Daphnia pulex: one gene and its partner. The protein of the gene in region 2 interacts with the protein of the main gene of each other region in a pairwise test. Links are inferred from orthologs where the notes say so. Each region holds a gene or a part of one and is shown on either strand. Other genes may lie near its edges.

The links.
Region 1: the proteins of armadillo segment polarity protein-like (region 2) and tax1-binding protein 3 homolog interact in a two-hybrid assay, tested with the Caenorhabditis elegans proteins (2 studies listed by BioGRID). The link is inferred for Daphnia pulex from reciprocal best matches to the Caenorhabditis elegans genes hmp-2 and txbp-3.

The regions. Positions count from the first base shown.
Region 1 is NC_060028.1:2,453,963-2,470,688, reverse strand, and holds tax1-binding protein 3 homolog, read right to left. Parts: upstream 7,129-16,726; 5' UTR 7,035-7,128; coding exon 6,987-7,034; exon of another isoform or gene 6,937-6,986; intron 6,885-6,936; coding exon 6,756-6,884; intron 6,685-6,755; coding exon 6,648-6,684; intron 6,580-6,647; coding exon 6,539-6,579; intron 6,400-6,538; exon of another isoform or gene 6,189-6,399; coding exon 6,078-6,188; 3' UTR 5,559-6,077; downstream 1-5,558. Other genes in the region: vitellogenin-like, read right to left, coding at 1-29, 151-290, 372-600, 680-989, 1,061-1,169, 1,234-1,383, 1,447-1,732, 1,799-2,015 and 12 more; dedicator of cytokinesis protein 3-like, read right to left, coding at 7,979-9,599, 9,664-10,257, 10,322-10,521, 10,611-10,773, 10,874-10,891, 11,006-11,091, 11,157-11,324, 11,398-11,541 and 14 more. UniProt on the Caenorhabditis elegans protein: May regulate a number of protein-protein interactions by competing for PDZ domain binding sites.
Region 2 is NC_060020.1:4,722,842-4,726,779, forward strand, and holds the start of armadillo segment polarity protein-like, read right to left. Parts: upstream 2,801-3,938; 5' UTR 2,644-2,800; intron 2,457-2,643; 5' UTR 2,419-2,456; coding exon 2,385-2,418; intron 2,319-2,384; coding exon 2,179-2,318; intron 2,117-2,178; coding exon 1,996-2,116; intron 1,932-1,995; coding exon 1,744-1,931; intron 1,684-1,743; coding exon 1,525-1,683; intron 1,440-1,524; coding exon 1,285-1,439; intron 1,199-1,284; coding exon 897-1,198; intron 837-896; coding exon 688-836; intron 604-687; coding exon 394-603; intron 331-393; coding exon 198-330; intron 137-197; coding exon 15-136; intron 1-14. Other genes in the region: cysteine desulfurase, mitochondrial-like, read right to left, coding at 3,874-3,937. UniProt on the Caenorhabditis elegans protein: Required for cell migration during body enclosure and cell shape changes during body elongation. Plays a role in recruitment of the cadherin protein hmr-1 to adherens junctions.

The DNA of each region.
Region 1 (16,726 bases), on a different chromosome or scaffold from region 2:
GCCGATCCTTTTGGTACAGGGCCCAGAACCTTCGCCAAGAACAAAACATGAAATAAAATTTTTTTAATTCAATCAGCTTGATAATCCTCTAGTTAAAATAGGAAATAGACACCTAGAGTTAATATTATTAGATCTATTACAAGATAATACCTTGTTAAGTTTCTTCTTGATTTGAGGTTCCATATTGTTTGACAGGTACTGAATGCGATTGGCCGGTTCTTTGATGGCGGCAGGTGATTTCGAACCTGTGCTGTACACTTGAGTTCCTCTATCCAACTTATCTGCTGCATCTGCAAAATAATTGCATTCAAAATTTTAGAATTCTCTCTCTGGTTCGCTTGAATTGTTATCACTAATTGAGATTTTTTTACCGAGATTCAAGGAGAAGACAATTTTGGTGGTTTCGGAGGCAATTGGATCCAGAGTAACGCGGTAAGACTGAAGGTGGAGTGAAACAGGAAGGAGAGCAAAGTTCGCGTCCATGAGGATTTTGGAAAGTGGTTCTTGCCAAATGGATCGATGATTGGCCGAAGCTGGAAGTTCACTCCTGCTTGTCCAATCCAATTTCAATCCGGTCTTGCCCCCGACTGGATATTGATGCTGAAATTGAATTGTCAATGATACAACACTTTATTATAATTGTAAAAACCGGTAGTTAATTAACATTGGATTTGGCTACCGTCTGAGGAGTCACTCCAAATGCATGAACATCTTTTGATTCACCGGGACTAGGATTAATTGGCAGGTCCGTGCCGAGAGCCTGTAGAGCCGTGAACGGCCGGACCCGGTAGTGATAAAGGGTGGTAAGCCCAGCCGGTCCCGATGAAGCCGGCTTCCAGGCCGTCATCAATTTCCAGTTGTCTAGTTCGACACCAAGAGTTAACCGGCCAGGTAGACTAAGGGTCACGTGAGTGTCAACGCCCGAAACTGGTATCGCTTTAGTGAATTCCACGTTGACACTCATGCTGGCCATCAATTTGACGACTATTCTACGAATGACAATCAGCAATATGTTATTTTTAAAATCGTTTAAAAAACGGACTGAAATATTTTTAAATACGTTGGCTTGACGTCAAGTTCAAGACCCAGATTCTTGATAGAGGCGGAACTAGCCCATTTCTTCAAATCCATAAAATCGCTGAAGCCTCCGTTGGTGATTTGCATATCACCTAAGATAAATTGGGCTCGAATGAACGCAATTGTGATAACTGAGAAACGGAATGTGCGAGATACCTTTGAAAGATGTCAAAACTTGAGTCTGAGTGCGTGTACTAATCATGAAGCCAAGCGTGCTTGGCACCAGAACTTCAGCGTGAGTCAAAGGCATCCACTTGCGACGGGAAAATTCGCGCTTGACAGAGACGCTACTGGAAGCCCATAGACCTGTGTCGGTCAATTTTCAAAATTTATTTTGTAAACAGCTTGGCAAGAGTTTTAAGTTAATACTTTGTATTAAGTCGGTAATGCCTGCCTCGTCGAAGGAAGTGAAATGATGAACAGCTTTCATCAAACTCAGATGCAAGAAGGCGTCCGCCGATCCGGCGTCCTGTGCTGGAATGGGACTTTTGGCGTTGAGCTGTTTCTTCACTCGGCGCAGGTCTGGATGCAGGTCGAATTCGCGGAAGCGGCCGCTATTTCTTGATTGAGAACTGTCACCGTTCTCCGAGGACGGGTTGAATTTGGCCACAATTCGGTCCCAGGCACTTCTCCAGTTTTCTCCGTACGCTTCAAACTAAAGGAGATTTAAATTTAAAAAACTATTTGCTGGTTTGTATTTTTCATTATTATGGTCGTTTACCTCGAAAATGTCAAAGTGGTATGGCCCCAGAACCCAACTGAGCCGACTGTACAAACTTTTGGGGAAGATGGACTCTTCAGAATTAAACATTTCGCTGTGGAACTCGGCGCCGGCGTTGCGTTCTGCCACCAACTGAGACCGTTTCAAATTGTATGAATATTTCAAACCTAAGGGAACGCGTTTGGCTAACGGCAACACAATTTGTGCCTTCTCCGATCTAATCAATTGGCCAGAGAAATTTGATGAACTATGAGTTATACCCAATATTATAAGATTAACTTACAATTCTTTTAAGTTCTCGACCGGTTCAATGTTGCTAGCCAAGCTGGAAAGAGTCGTGTACACGAAGGAGGCTACCTGAAATCGGTAGATATGAAAAAAAAATTTAAACGTAAGTAAAATAATACACCAGGTAAACCTAAATAAAGTATACTATACTATAAAGGTGTACCGTCCTAAGATACCTGAGCGCTATGTTCAAACCAAGTGGAAACGGCGATCCTCTGCCACCTATACGCCGGAGGATTGGCTAAAATGAGCAGCGTGAAAGCTGCCATACGAACCTGTGAGCAACAAATCGAAATTAATTTAGTTGTATTGTATGATTTCCCGCTTATGTACAAATCTATTCAATAACTTACTTCACTACTCTCGTTTGGATTCTGGAAAGTAGTTGACAGGACTTGGATGACCTTTGTGTTGGAATCGTGAGCAATTTTGTGCAGACTGATTACAGCCTTGGTCCTGATGAGCGGAGAATAATCACCCTAATATCGGATGATGAAGATAAAAAATCAGACAATTTGACCAGACAGACATATTTAAATTTAACTGTGAATACCTTAGCTTTAATAATGGGAAGAACGACGGAGAGAATGGATTCGTGGCCGATTTCTCCGAGGGCCGTCAGTGCAACCATTTTGTCTTCGATTGAGCCCCCTCCGTTGATTTCTTTGTAGAGGAGCGGGACCAGTCGGCTGGTAATGAAAGCGTCGTTGGGTTGGCAAAAGTCGCCGTAGAGTCCAGCCGGAAAACGAGTTCGAGCTTCGCTGACGTTAACACAGGCCACGTGCGCCAGTTGGGAAACGGACATCATCGCCGAGTGATAGATGGGCCGTTCCGATCCTGAAAAAGCGCTGGTGGCTTTCAGCATAGTCTATAAATGAATGAACAAAAAAGGTGAAGGTTGCATGTAAACTGCGTTGAAATAAAACAAATCGGTTTTGCGATTGGAATCGGGTCAACAAATTCAGGATTGTGTTACAAAAAGTTCGTTAAGAAGCTCGGCTGTCGGCGTGCGCACGTACAACGGGAAACCGGAAATGGCTTGCAAACTCTCTGACTTGGTTAGTCGTCGGCTCAGAATGGCTTCTTTCAAGAAGGTCACTGTTGGATTGCTGCCAGCTGCAATCACTGCATCCAGCAAGATGCTCCTGTTTTGAAAATTCCGATTTTAAAAATGATCCAGTCCCGAATATTTAGTATTTTCTCGTCACCTCTCAAGAGTCGAGCGATGGCCAATTTCGCCAACGAGTGAACTGATTTTCTGGTAGTCCAAGTGTCGGACGAGATGTGAAATGGCTGAAATCGTATCGACAGCTGCTTCCTCTTGACTAACTTCCATTTGATCGACGGCCTTGGCCAGAAGGCGATCCACCTCTTCCAGAAGGTTGTCGACGCCCTGGTGGAGTTGGTCGGGATCGCGCAGGAGAGGCATCCGCATCAGTCCGTCCGAAAGCCAACTGCTGCTGCTGGCGTTCGTTCCCGGGAAGGAATAGACTAGCGATCCGATGGCCAGTCCACTGTCCAAATCCTTGGGCGGCCAGGCCGAAGAAGACGAAGCGTGGCGGACGGCCTGCAGCGTCAACTTCATCAGCGAAAGAGACCTGAGCTGCTCCGTGTCGTAGGCGTACGGACTGGTCCTCACTTCTCCTTGATGCGTCATCTTCAATAACGTGAAGGATTCCAAGCTGCCGCAGGCGATGTAACGATTGACGGAAGAGCGCTTTGTGTTTGAAATCCAATCGAAAAGATAAATCATTTGTAAAATTATTTGAATAATTCAATGAAATTCACTTCGTATATTACCGAACGAGCTGTTCCGCAAGCGGCCACGCCCGATTTGCATTGCCATCCGGAAGGAGCGATGATGGTGTAGACGGGTTTGTTGAGCCGACACTTGCTGTAGTCCTTGGTCTTGACCACTTGGAAGAAAGTCCCTTCGACGCACAGCTTGGGCATGGGGTTGAGTTTGCTGTCGGAGCGAATGAGGGCATCCGATAACGGGGCGATCTCGTAGAGGGTTTCACACTCGCCAGTCACACCGCTCTGCGTATCGTCCAAGATAAGGAGATTTTCAAAATGTACATACATAAATACGGTGTAGTGACCCTATTACCTCAAAGACTTTGAAGACAGAGTTGACGTCGTCATAAGAGTCTTCCGTTGGCAGGCCAAAGTTGCGCGACGCTGACTCGACACTTCGGCTGCCAGAGACGTGCAGCTGCAACTTGGACGCCACGGCTTTTTTCATGTTGATGGACCAAAACGGCTCGTCCGCACTCACCACCAGCGATTCAAACTGAATTTCATAAATAGCGCCCCAAGTGAAAACTTGATGGAAAATGCGAGTCAATTGATGATTTTTTTTTTTTAAATACCAAGCCCTCGCGGTGACGAATGACGAAGGGTTTCTCTAGAAAATATTTGCCCTCGACGACGACCTGGGTGCCGAGTTGGCTGGACTCGAGTTCGCTCCAGCTCTCGCCGACGTCCGTGTGGAAATTCCAGGCGGTGACGTCCACCAGCTAATTTTATTTCAAACTCCATTTAGAAAGACAAAAAGAGAACCATACGGTGACATGATGATATGATATGACTCCGAACTTTACCTTGACGACGATGGACCCAGCGTCGCGGCACTGGACCGTCAGCTGGGAGTCGAATTTGACACCGGCCGCCTGCGGTCCCAGCTCCGGAATGTCGCTGACCGAGATGGCGTGCATCCGGTAGACGTACTCACTGCCCGCCGCCCATGGTGCTTTTTTAATTTTTCCAATTTTAAAAAGCAGAAAAAGCTATACTATATGCTAACGTGGTAAATGTTATAAATACGGAACTTACTGTATCGGGCAGACGACACCGAAGCTGTCGGGGAAAAGTTGGCAGGTGGTGGCGGGAATATGAAAAAGTAAGATGAGATTTATATCCATCGCGAGTAGTAGGAATGAGCACCGAAACACGGAACAACAACAACAACAACAACACTATGAAACACACTTACCAAGACCCAAGACCAGCCCTACAAGGACGGCCAACCGCGTTTTCATGCCCATCCTAGTGAAATTCGAATCCATTGGCTCATCCACGTATTTATAGACGGGCGACTGCGCTGGCGAGCGCAGGCAAACACGACTGCTGGATGGGCTCGAATGGAGCGAGTGTCAACTGGCTTCCTGATGGGTTGATTATCGCGTCCGTCCCGTCCGAGCCGCAAGGGACGACGGCAACATGTGCGGTAACAGCGAAAAGCAATACCCGTTTTCCGTTTGACCCAAGGGAGCCTTGGACTTTGGTGGCTGGACCATTTCACTCTCTCTCGACCAGTCACGTCAATTCAGCAATCGCAGGCGGGACCGATTCTTTATCTCCTCATGACTCAGCTGCTTGCCATTTTCTTTTCCGACGTGGTTCGAGTATTTCGCGTCATAATAATCGCTCGCTTCCACTCATATCGACACAATCATCAGCAAAAACGTGGTTCGGTGGCAGCGCCAAACGATTTTATTTTATTTTTTTTTCGTCTTGAATTTTTATTGAAATTTAATTTGAAAGCAGTTTCACAGACAGAAGGAAGATGACAAGTTCAACGATCGGCTCCAGTCAATCAGCAAAATATTGCGTTGGGTTTGTTCCTTTAGAAAGAAAAAGAAGAAGAAGAAAAACAACAACATCATTCATTCGACAAAATGAAAAACAATATCTTGAGGGAACTTTGGCACTGGCACGACACGATCCAACATTATACTGCGACTCTTCTTTGAATTTTGTAGCACAAATTGGAAGGGAGGTGACAGAGAGGAAAAGCATAAATTGATTAGAAAAATGATGAAAGCCGCCAGCAAATAAGGGGGGTGGAAACGAGCAGAGTCGACATAAAATTCAATTTTACTGAAACGGCTCGTTTTTTTTTACCCCCAACTCAAAAAATCATATATAAATATCTATATAAAGCTGATATAATGGTCCTCGTCGTCCAAACGCGTCCAAACTGTTGTGCTCACGAATGTGTTACTCCTTTGCGAGCAACCAGCATATTCAAAACGGGATATTTCTTGATGTAGTCGACAGCCTTCTTGTGAGTGCACATGGTCAAATCGTACCCATTACACTTTAAAAGGAGATAAAGAAAAAAACAAATTATTAAAATCAGGCCAAACCAAGTCCACTCTCGAAGGAAGACGCGAAGAATTATATTAAAGACATCTTTCTGGCGAGACGTGCCAAGTGCGAACGTGACGGGTCAAAAAAGTTTCTTATCTGACATCCGGATTTTAGTGATAATCAATATTTCCAAAAGCAACAAAACTGGCACAATTGAGGTAATTACCAAAATACAAGATCTGGAGTTAATTAGATGCAAACATTTCACTAAGCTAGTTCAATTCAAGTTTAATATTTCTTAATTCACTGAAAGACCGTAAATGTTTTAAAAAGAAACAACTCAACCAAATAAAATACCTGCAGTATCTTGTCATTCATCCGCAGACCAGCTTTTGCTGCTATAAATTTATAAAAAATATATTAATTTTTAGATTTTTCACAATAACAAATTGTTGCACTCTCTTACCTGGGCTATTTTCTTGTACTTCAGTGACATAAATTCCCTAAAGAAAATAGACAATAAAAATATGGTAAAATCTTTACAACCAGCAGTGTTACTGCTTAAAGGACTCACATTATCGGAATAGTTTTGTGGACTTTTTCTGAAGTCCTGGTCGATTCCTCCTCCTATTTTAAAGCCACACCTATGCACTTCTCTTCCTTCATGATCTAGGACAGATTCTTTGTGTAGAGTTATGGGAATCTGGAACATACAACACATTTAGACATTTTAGATACACAATATTGTTATTTAGGTGAGTCATTCGAGGTCAAAATCAAACGTCAAATTCGATGGGACACTCACGCTGAGGCATTCCATTGCAGTTCCTGCTTGGTGAAAAAAAGTCGACATTTTGATCTAAATTCAAATATTCTACAGTTAGCTACGCACTAAAAATGTGTCAAAAAGACAAACTAATTGTTTCTCTTTTTCTTTGTGCAGTTAAAAAGAGACAGCTGTCAAACGGAAAACTGAAAACAGTGGTTAATCGGCGAAGTTGCCAAATTTCAGAAAAATTGACAGGTCATTGTCATCGTTTATTTCTAATCATGGATACATCTACATAAAATCTTTTTTTGATAATAAGTTCTTTGAAATGACATGATGATCGAGAATCACGTTGTTGGGAATTGCATCCAAAAAACGAAGCGACTCTCAATCCACAAGTGAATGTCGTCGTGATCCGTGATTGATTGATGGAAAAAAGCTTCAAAACTCAAGATAATGAAAGAACAGAAAGAAAACAAACAAAAATTATGCATGAACTCGCTCTTTTCTTTTGAAATGTTCTTCCGTCAGGAGAAGTCAAAGAATCTGTCGAAGGAATATATAGAAATGGAAGACTACACTCAGACACTCAGATTATTGTGATATGTCAACACACACAAGAGACAGGAACGCTGGAACGCTCTACGTTTTCTCCATTGATAATACTCGACATGGCATATATAATATAGACACAGCGCTACGTTTATATACGTTGATGCCTAATAGGAGAGGAGGAAAGATCCGATACGGAACGTCAAGGGAATAGTATATGATATGAGTATAGTTTCATTGGGAAAAAACAAAAAAAATGAAAGAAATAGTTATTATTATTATTACTGCTGAACTAATATAGGAAAATAGGATCTACACAATGCAACGGAGTTTTTTTCTTCTTTGGATGAACGTCGGGTGTGTGTGTGTGAGTATATGTAAATGATGTATAGTGATGTTGATTTGATTTGACATTCTGTCGGTCACTGTGGCGAGCTGACTAATCCAAGCTGCTCAGATATTACTAAAATTTCAATTCAAGCGGTTTCGACAGAGTAGAGAGATTCGTCGGGTGGCGGAAGGATCGGAAGGGGAGGTGGGGGCGATGCGGGAGGACTAGGACTCTTGGGGCTGCCGTTGGACATCATCCGGCAGCCGGAAGCTGCCAACAAACTGCACACTTCGTCGACTAAGCTGCCGCTCCCGCTGCCGAGATCCAGCGGATTCGAAAACGAAGTGCTGTTGTTGATGGCCGGCCGGCCGTGCGGCGGAACCGGAGGCGGACCGCTCAACACAGGACCCGGTGTCAACGTCATTGGCGTCGACATGGGAGAGGCCGAGCATCCGGATTTCGGAGGCAGAGGAGGAGCCGGAGGCGGTCGGTGGTGTCGCAGCGTTCCGGCTTCGATGGCTTCCGGCGACATCATGAGATTGGACGGGATCATTGAGCCTTTCTTTGGCACTCGCTTGGGATGGATGGGGGGCGGAGATGACGCATCGCATCCGCCGGCAAACGATTCGTCGAACGAGGATTTCGATGATCTCGGCGGCAGGGGCGGTGCAGTTTGGCGCGGAGGAGTCCGGCTCGGAGTCGAATCCACCGTGTCGTGCACGTTGGGCGAGGACAGAGTGTGCCGGGATTGCTGGGCGAGGCTCGTCTGCGAGATTTTGCTGCTCAACGGCGTTCGGGTGATTGTCATCGAATTGATGGGATTGTTGGAACTCAAAGATTCGCGGTCCGTCCCGAATCCGGAATCCCGCAAAGAGGCGGGACTGAAGAAGATGTACTCGTTGGCCCAGCGGGGAGATTTGGCCCGGCTGACGTTGGTGACGGTCGACCTGGGCGTCGTCGAAGTTGAATAGATCGGCTGGAGTGGAACCGATCCAGCTGCACTGGCCGCTTGTAATTTTTCCAGGATTTCCGACGGTTTACAGTAAAGGTCCTCCTCGTCTTCACTGCCCACTTCGCCCACCGTTAGATGGCCGTACAAGCTGCTGCTGGAACTCGAGGAGCGATTGCTGGGCGGTCCGCCGGCCGTCAACGACCGCTGGGCTTTCATGCGGTCCGACACCATCGGCAGTGACGTGTTGAGCAATGGATTGCTGCTGTTCACCTTGGCCGGGCTGTACTCAATTCCGGCGTCGCTATCGGCCCGTCGGTGATGATGGGCTACAGCCGACGGCCCATGACTATTGGCGTAGCGAGCCCCAGTGTCCGGCGAAGGGAATCCCCACTCTTTCAGACGCTGTTTCATCTGGGCCAGACACTCGACCAGCCTTTTGTGAAGCGGCTGGACTTCCGGCGGGGCCAATTTGCCGTGAAGGGCCAATCCAGCCTCCAGGATGCGGACCTGTTCGACGATGCACTGGCGCAGTTGGAGGACGTGTTCCAGGTGTCCAGGATGGCTGGCCAGGAAATCGGAATTGAAGAAAGCCTCCTGGTATTTAGCGATTCCGCCCATGACACAGGCGTCGATGACGCCCTGAAGTCGCATGCTGAACGGATTGATGTTCCGGCGAGGTTCGGCGGCGTGCAACGACGCCAGCTGCTGCAATTCGCGATTGACCGACAAGACCGTCTCGCAAGCGTACTGGACCGGAGCGATCTCTTCGACGTGGCGGTCGACCACTTGGAACCAGCGCAAAATTCCCGGCAATCTGAAAATTTAAAATTCCCGCCATTTTATTCGAAATTCAATTGATTGAACATGAGTTGACTTACGGATGCTCGGTGACGAGCCAAGTGCGTTCGATCCAGAGGCTTTTGAATTCGTTGTCTCGATCAACAGGTCCTTTGTGGATGGGCCGATCCAGCTGGAAGCGGCGGACGTCGTTGACGCGGTAATAGCTGCGAATCTTTTCGTGAAAACCAACGAGTCCGGCGTCGAACACCGGATGGTCCTCCGCCACGGGTTTGACGTTGCAGATCTGGATGTGCTGGCCCTCCGAGGTCAGGATGACGTCGCCCGGCGGAGTGTTTTTGGTCAGAATGTGGGCGGTGGGGAACTCGGTCTGGAGCCGCTGGGTAAATGCGCCGATCCGCTCGTACTCGAGCCCCCGGTAGACGAAGAGGCGATTGCGCAGGAAGAGCGGGAATCCCTGGCCGTAGAAGCCGACGCGAAAGTACTCGGGTTCAGGCCGCAGCTGCGTCAGGATGTGGTCGTAAAAAGCGGCCTGCATCCGCAATATGTGCGAGAGTTTGCCGTAGTCGTAGAGTCGAGTCTCGTAAAAGTCGGCCAGCTCCTTACACAGCGGGATCCCCTTTTCCCAGCACTTGCCGCGGTCGAAATACGCAATGCTCTTCATGTAAATTTGCCTGCGGAATAAATTGTAAAATAATTGAAGTTTAGCCCATTAATAGTAGTAGTCCGGTTTGTTACTCCTTGCGTTGCCACTCCATTTGCGACGAGTGATGGCCGTCGGCTGGCAAATTTTGGCTGGACCAACTCATTTGGTTGGCGTGCAATTGTAACGTCAGGGCTGCTTCGGTGTAGTTGTCAGCCGATAAGTGGAGATCGTGCAATTTGTAGATGTAGCGCAGGTACATGTCACGGCGGTCCACCTCGTCTTTGTAGAAATTCTGAATCAAAATACAAAAATTTTTGAATTGAATTGAAGAATAATTCCGGCTCGTGACAAATTTATGAACTTGTTGTACTTGTACTATACCAGCAAATTGAAGGTGCAGCTCATTCGTTTGTCACGATTCTCTTCGCCTTCCATGACGTTGCGGTAGTCCAGCAGCCGTTCCAAGAGTCGCGTAATGGAACCTATGAAAGCCTTGCCGTGTTTCTGCCACGTCACGTCGCACGATTTCACCTTCTCCAACAATCTGCAACCGGAATTTGAATAAAACCAATTAGTCATTTCACGATTCGCGATCGAGAAGATATAGTCGGAGAGTTTATCTGATTGGGCCCAACAATACTTACATTGAGCTCAACATTTCCCTTTCATTTTGTGTTTAAGAAGCGTTAAAGAGAAAGATCAATTTTAAGTCAATCGCAGAGCAAAACATTGATTGGAAAATGCCACTAATCAAAAAAGGAAATGAAAACACTTACATGGTGTTGAAGAGTTCCTTGTAATTGTCGTCTCCTTTATTCTCGCCCACCAGGACGTCCAACTTGTCAATCAGTTCCGATTCAACCTGACAGAATATGAAAAGATTTGAATTTCATTGAACTTTAGAGGGTTCATTTAATAAATATTTACCTGTTTGAAGTTTCCCCTGTGTCGATGTTCGCAGTCGAGCATGTCGAAAAAGATGGGCAGTGTGGCCCGGCGCAGAGTTGGTTCTGGAACTAGTGTCACTTGCAGAAATGGCCCGACCATCGTCGGTATAAAATGAATCTTGTAATCACCGATGGCATTCCACATAGTCTAAGAATTTTGAGAGAAAATAGTTTGAAATTATTCGGCTTTTAAAAAATTTCAATTTCTATCAAAATAATACCAGAATTTGGAAGCCCATCTGAACCCGCATATCGCCTCCCTGGGCGCGGACCATTTTCAGTCGCTGACTGGGGGTGCGCTTTTCCAGCTGCAAACTGGGTTGCGTCAAAAAAGAGACGGCCAGATCGAAGTAATTGCTCCACAGCTGGAAAATAATTTCATTGGTTAAATCATCACAAATGAAATAAAAGTTTTGACAAGGATTGCTTAGTATACCTGACTGTCGAACCAGCCGGAGTCGAGGAAATAGGCCACAAGCGGTTGGGTCATTTGATCCAGAGATGCCAGCATGACGCGGTTGACAACGCAGTGCATGGTGGACCACTCGGACGGGAAGACGTGCTCGCCTTGGCGGGCCAGCGCCCTCAGCACGGCGAACAGTTGCAGCAGGAAATCCTTGAGCGGTTTGCGTTCCGACAATTCCGACCAGAGTCGGTCGTAGTGGCCCTGATCCAGCAGTTCCAGTACGCTCAGCAAGCAGGCCACCAGAGGGCCCTGTTTCAATTCATCCGCCAAAATAAGAATCATTTTTAATACGATCCAATTGTTACGCCATCCAAATGCCAATTCTTACCACATTGGAATCGGTTTTCTGGGCCGATTGGACGGCCTGGATGAGGACGCCCAGCGTCGCTAAGGTGATGGTTTCGACGTCGCGATACCAAATGTTGTCCACCGTCGTGTCGTCCATCATGCTCATCTTGCGGTAGAAATTCATCATGTGGCCCAGGGTTTCCGTGCACAGGGACATGACCAGCGGCTGCGACAGGTGGAGCCGAAGCTGGCGGCAGATGGTGGCCAGCAGAATGGCCCGAGCGGCCGACGATTCCGTAAAGAGCGGCCCGCGGACGGTGGTCAGGACGAGCTGCATCCGGGCCGTGGCGATCAGCGGATGCGGCTCTTTGGGCAGGCTGTCGATCAACGACGCCAAGAGTTTGGAGGATTCCGCTTGGCTCAGGATTTGGCTCAGCTGTTCCACCACAGTGTAAATATTGCGCAGCAGCACAACCTGGAAAAAAAAAATGGACGAGCCGGATATCAATAGAAATCGCTGGATAAAACATAAATATTCCGGCGTATTGTATGTTACCTGAGTGCTGACGAGGACGTCGCTGTTGAGCGAGGCGACCTTGTTGAAAGTGGCGAAAAGTGACTGGACATATTGGCGGAAATCGTCGTCCTCCTGGTTTTCCAGGATGGCCCTGGCGTAGAGCCGCCGTGACTGGATCACCAATTTGAAGAGAATTTCAAAAGCCCGGAAGCACTGCTGGATCGGCTCGAACTTGCAATCGCTGCTCGAGTGAACCCGGTCAGTGCATTGCTGGACGCAACTCAGCAGTCCCCTAATGAATTTAATTCATTTAAAAAAATAAAAACGAACAATTCAATCAATTCAAAATAATCGTCAATTACTTGTAAGCCAAAGCCGCTGAGAAATGGTCGGTAATGTAGGCGTCGACCACCGATTTAAAGTGCTGGAATTTACTGTCATCCAGCAGACTCAGAATATTGACCTATAAATTAACCAATTAATTAAAAAACCATCACGAGCTATAAATGTCATTAATATGGCGTGAAATCTATTCATTTTTTATTTGACATACCAGGACTTCAAAGACCAGGCCAGAATGGGGCGTGGCGTTGCCTTCCGTATCGGAGAACATGACGAAAAGCGAGTCGAGCACGTCCTGGAGAAACTTGACTAGCTCCTCCCCTCTGAGACGCATGACCAGGTTGAGTGTGTCCGTGATCCGTTCCGGATGAGATTTCCACTTGAGCAACGACAACAAATTGGCTGTGGAGAATAAAGAAAAAATCGATTAGTTTGTCTTGGTACAAATACATCCGGTGAATATAATTGAAAACCATTTTGAGTGAGTTTGGTGGAGCACAGGTAAAAAGCTACCGTGACCGACTCGCGACTGTTTCGATGGAACGAGGCGCAGGACGGTGACGACGAGCCGATGGAAGAAGTCGACTGAACGGCCAGGGCCGACTGGATCTGTTTCGTCGAGTAGGGCAACTGGAGATAGGAGACGGAGGGATCCTTGAAACGGGTCTGATCCTCCACTTTGTAGACCAGCAGTTGGTGCTGGCCGTCGGGCAAAACCGTTCCGTCACGGTCCATCAACGGGATGAAGGAGAAACCGATGAGCCGCTTCTCCGTTTTATCTTTGGCTAATCAAAATTGAATTGAATGACATTTATTTTATATTTTTACTGGACCATCTAAATGGCCTAGCGCTAAAAAACTTACTGCTGCAGTGCCGGTACTCTAGCCGCAAATGGGCGCCGTAATACTTTTCGATGGGCAATGAAACTTTGATCATCTCGTACCACACTGGGCTGTTCATGTGGTAGAGGACGACAGATTGGTGTTGCGTCACACCCTCAACATTGGAGGCTCCGTACAAACAATTCTATCAAATACACACACAAACAAAAAATAAAAGAGATTTAATCATTAAAAAAAAATTCAATTCAATTTCAGTAGTTGTTCCCATTGTTCCCGATCAACAACAATGTGATGAATTGTAAGACGGCCAGAAAAGAAATATGTAAAGATAGCGCGCGCAGAGTCTGACGATAATAATAATCAAGGCCATCAAAGGGCACTGGGCTCGACACTCTCAAAACTTATCCACCAGACTCGACCGGTTGGTGGTGGGGATTATTACACGTCCAAGTTATTCATGCGTGTGGCAGCAGCCCCGACGAGTAGAAGGAAAGAAAAGAAAAAACACATTGGCTGATTATCATCGGTGGGGGGAAAAAAAAGCCGGTTTCCCTACTTAATTATCATACGGGTTGCGTGGGAAAAACAAAAATGTTAAAATATAAAATAAGCGGCGTGTCGCCTATAGCGCGTCGCCATTAAAAATCTGGTGGCGTCTAGAACTCTCTCGGTTCGTGCCATTTCGTGTTTTCTACCTGTTAATATCGTTTTGTCACAACATCATCACACCACCCACATTTTGTATTTTTTTACCTGGATGGGTCGGCCGAATTCGTCCAGGACCAGGACGGTCACCTCGACGTTTTTACTCGACGATTTGCCACCGCGCTCGAAATCGCCGCGTTCGATTACAAAGTACAAATCGTTCCTGGATAAAACCGGAAGTGATTTGTTTGGTTAAGACGAAGAAATCCCCCGAAGGTAATTAGCGTATAGAGAAAATACCTGACGTCACCGGGCATGATAACATCGGGAAAGCCCAGCTTTTGAGTCAGTGGGACGTTCTTCAGAAGGTGAATGTATTCGTGACGCAAGGCGGCCAATTCGCCACGCAACAGCCTCAGCGAAACCACCACACCTTGAAAATAAAAAGAGAAATGAATGAATGGAAGCCGGAAGTGGGCCAATTACATAATGGGATGGAAATTTCTTACCTTGAGAAATCTGTCCGGAGAGGAGACTGAATTTACTGGTGGATTTCTTGGCCACCAATTCGTGCTGCCAGAGTCCGTAGTCTTTCTCGTCGCTCTGGTACAATTTCAGAGGAAATTCTCTTTCTTCCTCTTCTTCCAGGGTGCCTAATCCGCCGGCGTCGGCCAGCAACTCGGCCAAAGGCAAGACGGCGACGGCGTGCGGGCGCCGGTACGTCTGACTGAGCGGCTTCTTGGACGACTCGGTGTAGAGTAGCCGGCCAAGTCGGATGACTTGGACGACCAAATAAAGATCCTTTTTCAAATCGGCGTTTCCCAGTTCCTATTAAAAATAAATAAAAATCAAAATAAAATCTTTTTTCAGATATCGAATATGCAAATTTCGGGCGGATGAAATAGGTGCGGTCGTACCGTGAAGAGCGTAGCGCTGTGATTGGCTTTGCCGATGTAGCTGGAGAAACCCTCTTTGAGAACTTTGACTAGAAACTTTTCACTATATAAATACAAAGAACAAGTTTTGGTTTTTGGTTTTTGTGTGTGTTCCAGACGAAAGAGATAAATTTCAAATCGTCAAAGAGACACGGGCGAAATAAAAAAGTGTTTGTTTGTTTTCACCTCACGTAACGCGAATGCTGCATGTCGTAGAGGGCGAAGTTCACCTCGGCGTCTTCGCCCAGCGAGCATCCAAAGTGACGCATCGACAGGTACAAGTGATGGGTCGCTGGACGCACTTCCGGATTCTTGCCACCTCTGGCCGGCAGAGTGGCGTTCCACTAGTGCACAGATAAAAATAAAAATCACCAACATTTCGAATTGAAAGTTGAATAATACATAATCAATTGAAAACAAATGTCGAAATGAACCTACCGTGGTGTTGCGGTTTTTTTCAGCGCTGGCCACATGCTGATTAATTGAGAAGCGTGATTAGAATGTCATTGCATTTGAATTGGCCAGTATTTTTTTTTTTTTTTTAAATTGAATGGACTTACGACGTTGTAGAGTTGATACACTCCCAGAGTGTCCGGCCCGACGATACGGTCATCGATTCTTGGCACTAAATCCAACCCAAGTTTCCTAAAAAAGAAAGAGAATTTCCAATAATACATTTAGAATAGTGTGTGATAGGAGTTAGACACCGGCGGACAGGTTATCGGTTGTCGCCTGGGATTGGCACACGGAATATTGAACGACAACCAAAAAACCGAAAAACCAAAACGAGACGATGTGACTTTATGGCATTGGAGACAAACTTTTTCCCTTTTTCTTTACAGATTTTTACAATTTAACAAGCGCAGTATGGGGGACCCTGAAGCCGTAAAGTGTCGGCCATGTTGCCCACGACCCTGCCTTTAAATCCGGTATTATACCCCGTTTCAATTTAAGATGCGCTAGACTTTAAATAACGAAAAAAAGAATTCTCTGTTCCATGTTTTTCTTCTTTTCTTCTGCTTAAAAAAGAAAAAAAACCGGTCGAACTTGTGTATCCCCAGACGATAAAAAATATACAGACACACACACACACTATGGCGGAATGGATATAGAAAAAGGAGACCCAATGGCCAAATAGGGTCGTCGTCATCGACCACTATTTTTTCTGTTTCTTTTTTACACGTTCGCCAAGACCGGTTTGAAATTATTTTATGGAAAAAACATATGCTAAAAATTTCGAGGCGATTCCCTTTTGGAACGAGTGATAAAGAGAGTTGCAGGGACCACTCAAATTAAGGTTGAAAAAAAAATATAATCTGAAAGAATTGTAATAAATAAAAAAATGTTTCTTTTGAGGGGAAAAATAAAAATCTAGAAGCTGTAAAACGGTGTCTAGTGTATCGTATAGAACTACCGTTTGCAGTAGCCGCCATTGCGATTGCTGTCAACTTTTCAAAAGAATAAAAAAGAGGCTCTCCGCATTCCGTGACATACGACCCGAAAAAACTAAAAAT
Region 2 (3,938 bases):
TAAAACAAACGTACTCGTTGGATGTCTTGGAAAGCACGGATCAACAGCTGCACCAAACGAGTAATAACTCCTTGTTCTCGCAGCGGAGCGTGGTTAGCAGGGCATAAAGCCAGATTACGAACCAACCCGATCAGAGCTAAACAAAAATGGTAATTATGAGACATTTTAAAAGACAAACTTGCTATAATGATACATACCCTTGATGAGTGGCCAACGAGAGGGGGGTTGCAATAAACGGACAATGACGGGCAGTCCACCACTAAGACGAACAGCATTTTGAGCCATTTCAGCTTCAGCGTGACGTGATGTCATGTGACGCAGAGCACATATCTGTAATTAATGGATTTTGTAAGAACCAACACGTTTGTCATTTTAAAAAGATGGATATATTACGGCAGGTTCGGTGATTTCTTCACGATCGCCAGCATGAATAATGGTGCGAACCAGCGCTTCGATACCACCGACTTGACACACAACAGTCTTGTTGCGTTGGTTGTTGCAAGTCAAGTTAGAGAGAATTCCGGCAGCGCAAGTGATTACGTTAACATCACTAGAACCTAACAACTGAACAAGTCCTTGAAGCAGGGTTTCTAAACCTTCTTGCTGTAAGAGAAAAATAAAGGTATAAGCATTGTCCTTAAGATAGGAGCAGAACATAAAATAATTTTTCTTTTAGAAGATAATCACCTGCTTGGTCGCAGCATCGGAAAGATTGCGGCAGGTCCATAAACAGTTCTGAACTAGGCGATGACTTTGGTGGCCCAAGTGCATTGCCAACGCTTGCATACCTCCAGCTTCAACAATAGCTGGTTTGTTGCTAGAACAGACCGACAGCACTGGGAAAAAAATTTATAAATAAATCACGTACATTAAACATTACGGTTTTTATAAATTACCTTTCAAAACTCGTGAAGTGGTCCACAGCAGCTTTTCGTAAGTATATGACCGAAGAATTCGAACAAGTTCCATCGGCCCCTGTGAAGCTAAAATGATCAACTTGGATTCTTGATTGCCATACGCCAGAATTTGAAGACAATCAGTAACGATTGCCAAGAATTTGACATTGTTGCGCTGAAGGAGAGCAACCATCTTCTGTAAACCACCCGCCAAACGAACGGCCATTTTTGAGCCTTCTTGATGGAGCAGCAAGTTGTGCAGCGTCGTGATAGCATAAAAAAGAACGGATTCCACGGGCGAGCTTTTCGAGATGACAAAAAATAAAAATAAGTAACGTTTGAAGAAAGCCGTCAGTTCGGACACATGAAGGATGAGACGGGACAATACCTCAACAGCTTCACCAAAGCTGGAATTCCCCCAGATTTAAAAATAGCCAACAATCCTTGGCGGTGATGTGATAGGTTGTGCAGGGTACCAACGGCACCTTTGGTTGTTTCCAGGTCATTGCTATTGGACAGTGCTCGAACGAGAGCCGCAATCATCTACGATCAAACGGATATGCATTATGAACTTGGAAAATAATTTTAAAAGAAGTGTAACACAGAGTAATAATAAAATCATAGAAACTTTGGTTGCCTGTGGGCTATTCATGATAGCATGGCGGGACGCTTCCTTCTTGGACAACTGGTGAACCATCATGGCAGCATGAGATACGACAACTTGATCTTCATCGTTCAACAACTTGATCAGTTCGGGAATAGCTCTTGTAGCTAGATCAGCATCATCCTACCAACCCAAATATTATTACTTTAAGCAGTTCAAAATTTTGAATTTCAGCAATAATACCTGATAGTTGATCAAATTAACAACGGCATGTTTCAACATTTGCGACGGTTCGGCTAAACGCTGAACAGCAGTTGGCTGTGTGGTATCAAACTGAGTAGATGGAATTTCCATTCCTTCATCCAGTGTCTCTGGAAACATGGCAGCACGAATACGCTGGGAGCGAGTCTGGTTTAACTGAGCATTCATGTCTGTAACAAAGTATTTGATTAAAACATATACCGCAATAAGAATCAAAAATATTTTATTGTTTACCTTCAACTTGGTCTTGAGTATAACCAGCTGAATAGCCACTTGATCCACCCATGTTAAGCATGACTCCTCCTTCAGAAGTATCCATATCATCATCACCACCTCTTCCAGAGAGTGATGGGGCCTAAGAAGTAAACATTTAGTTCGAAAGGTTACCTTCACTCGCACAATTCACTCAATATTTACCTGAGTGGTTGCCCCACTTTGGATTCCTGAATCTCCTACATATCCAGGTTGCCCAACTCCTTGCCACATCAATGTATGTTCCTTAACGCTGGGCATAGGAAGATCAGCAGGGCTATTGCTAACATATTGCCCATGTGACACTATACATACAAATTAAAGAGTTATAATAGATTTAATGAAAAATTTTAATTTAAAAAAGCTCATACTTGGCCTCCCTTGTGCCTGCATCTGATAACTCATGATGCGGCTGTGTATCGACGACTTTGCGACGAGATAACCTTAAATAAAGAAACGAGGGTAAGAACCAGGGCTAACAAAGTGTCGCAACTATGATGAAGTAAACTGCGTGTTTGACTGTCACTTGAGATTTCGACACAGTAAAAAGCCATTCAAAAGTCGAGAAAATTGTTGTTTGCTTTCGAAAAACATTTTAAGTGTAATTTTAAACAATTTAAGGTCACATACCTTTGGAATTTCGATTTGGTGACAAGAGATTAACAGAGCCACACCTGCCACAATCAGAAAACAAGGACCTGCTTCGTTCTGAAGTACTGACGCGTCTAAAAAGCCCTTAAAGATGGCGGCCATCAGCTTGAAACGGAACTATTTTTTTGGCGTTTTCTGTTTTTCTATGGTAAACCAATAAAACCAAAAACATTTAAATATAGCTTGAAATTACGTATTTAATGTGTTTTATTCCAAAACAAAAAAAAATAATAAAACAAATATTTGTGGGAAAGTCCAATAATATTTTAGAATATTTTTTAAAATTTCTAGCGTAGGAATACATAGCTAGTTTCCCCTGCCCGTTTGTCCAGACGGAAAGAGTGGGAGGGGAATAAAAAAAAGTTTCAAGTTCGGAATGACTCACAAATACCATTGAACAAATGATAAAAAAAAGTGCATTGCTTCTCAAGCAGGTTTTTAACCTCTTCCTTTTTTAATTACCTAGATACAGCTATGTAATAAATAGGTTGGCATTTCAGGGGTAGGGAGCCGTGGATTGCTGTCGATTGGCTAAAGAATAAATCGCCGCAATATGAAATTTCGGTTTTTGTACTTTTTTCCCGATATGCAGCAATGAAAAAAACAAAAGTTCGCTTGCTCGCTTAAGATTACATTAACTTCTTCACCTTTTCCAAACTTTAAATGAAATTCATGTAATGACTTCAAGTATAATGTCAAGTAAAAGTGCCCCATAAATCACATACAAAGAGTGTGAAAGGAATCAAAAGTCTTCGTTACCATGCACACCTGCTTTTTTGTGTGCTAGGAACGACTTCAAACTTTTTTAACCCAAAGAGCTTCGACGGAAACTTAGTCGTTTGGCATTGTCAAAAATATCAACTCGTTTATTGAACAAAAAACGGACATATTAAGGCTGTCAAATTTCTCTGCAGGATGTGCCGTTTTTTTTTTTTTTTAATCTATTCTAGATCTAGTCCTTCGATACTTTATATTGACTTATTATTGCACCGCAATGGTACCGATAGCTAATAAATTTCCCGGCTCATTTTACTGTTAAAGAGTCCAAAGTAACTTGTAACTTTACGATACCATTTTCTGCAACAATCGTCTTAAAAGATATTAAAGGTTATTGGTCAACACTATTTTCAGTGTATATTTCCAAATCATTTTCTTTACAAGGCTGAATTTATACAGCAACATTTTCAGTTTTGTTTTTGAATGGAAAGATTAGTGCTGCGTCCATTTGATACTTTTCAAATCAATCCCTTCTTGGACCATTTCCCAAAGAGGAC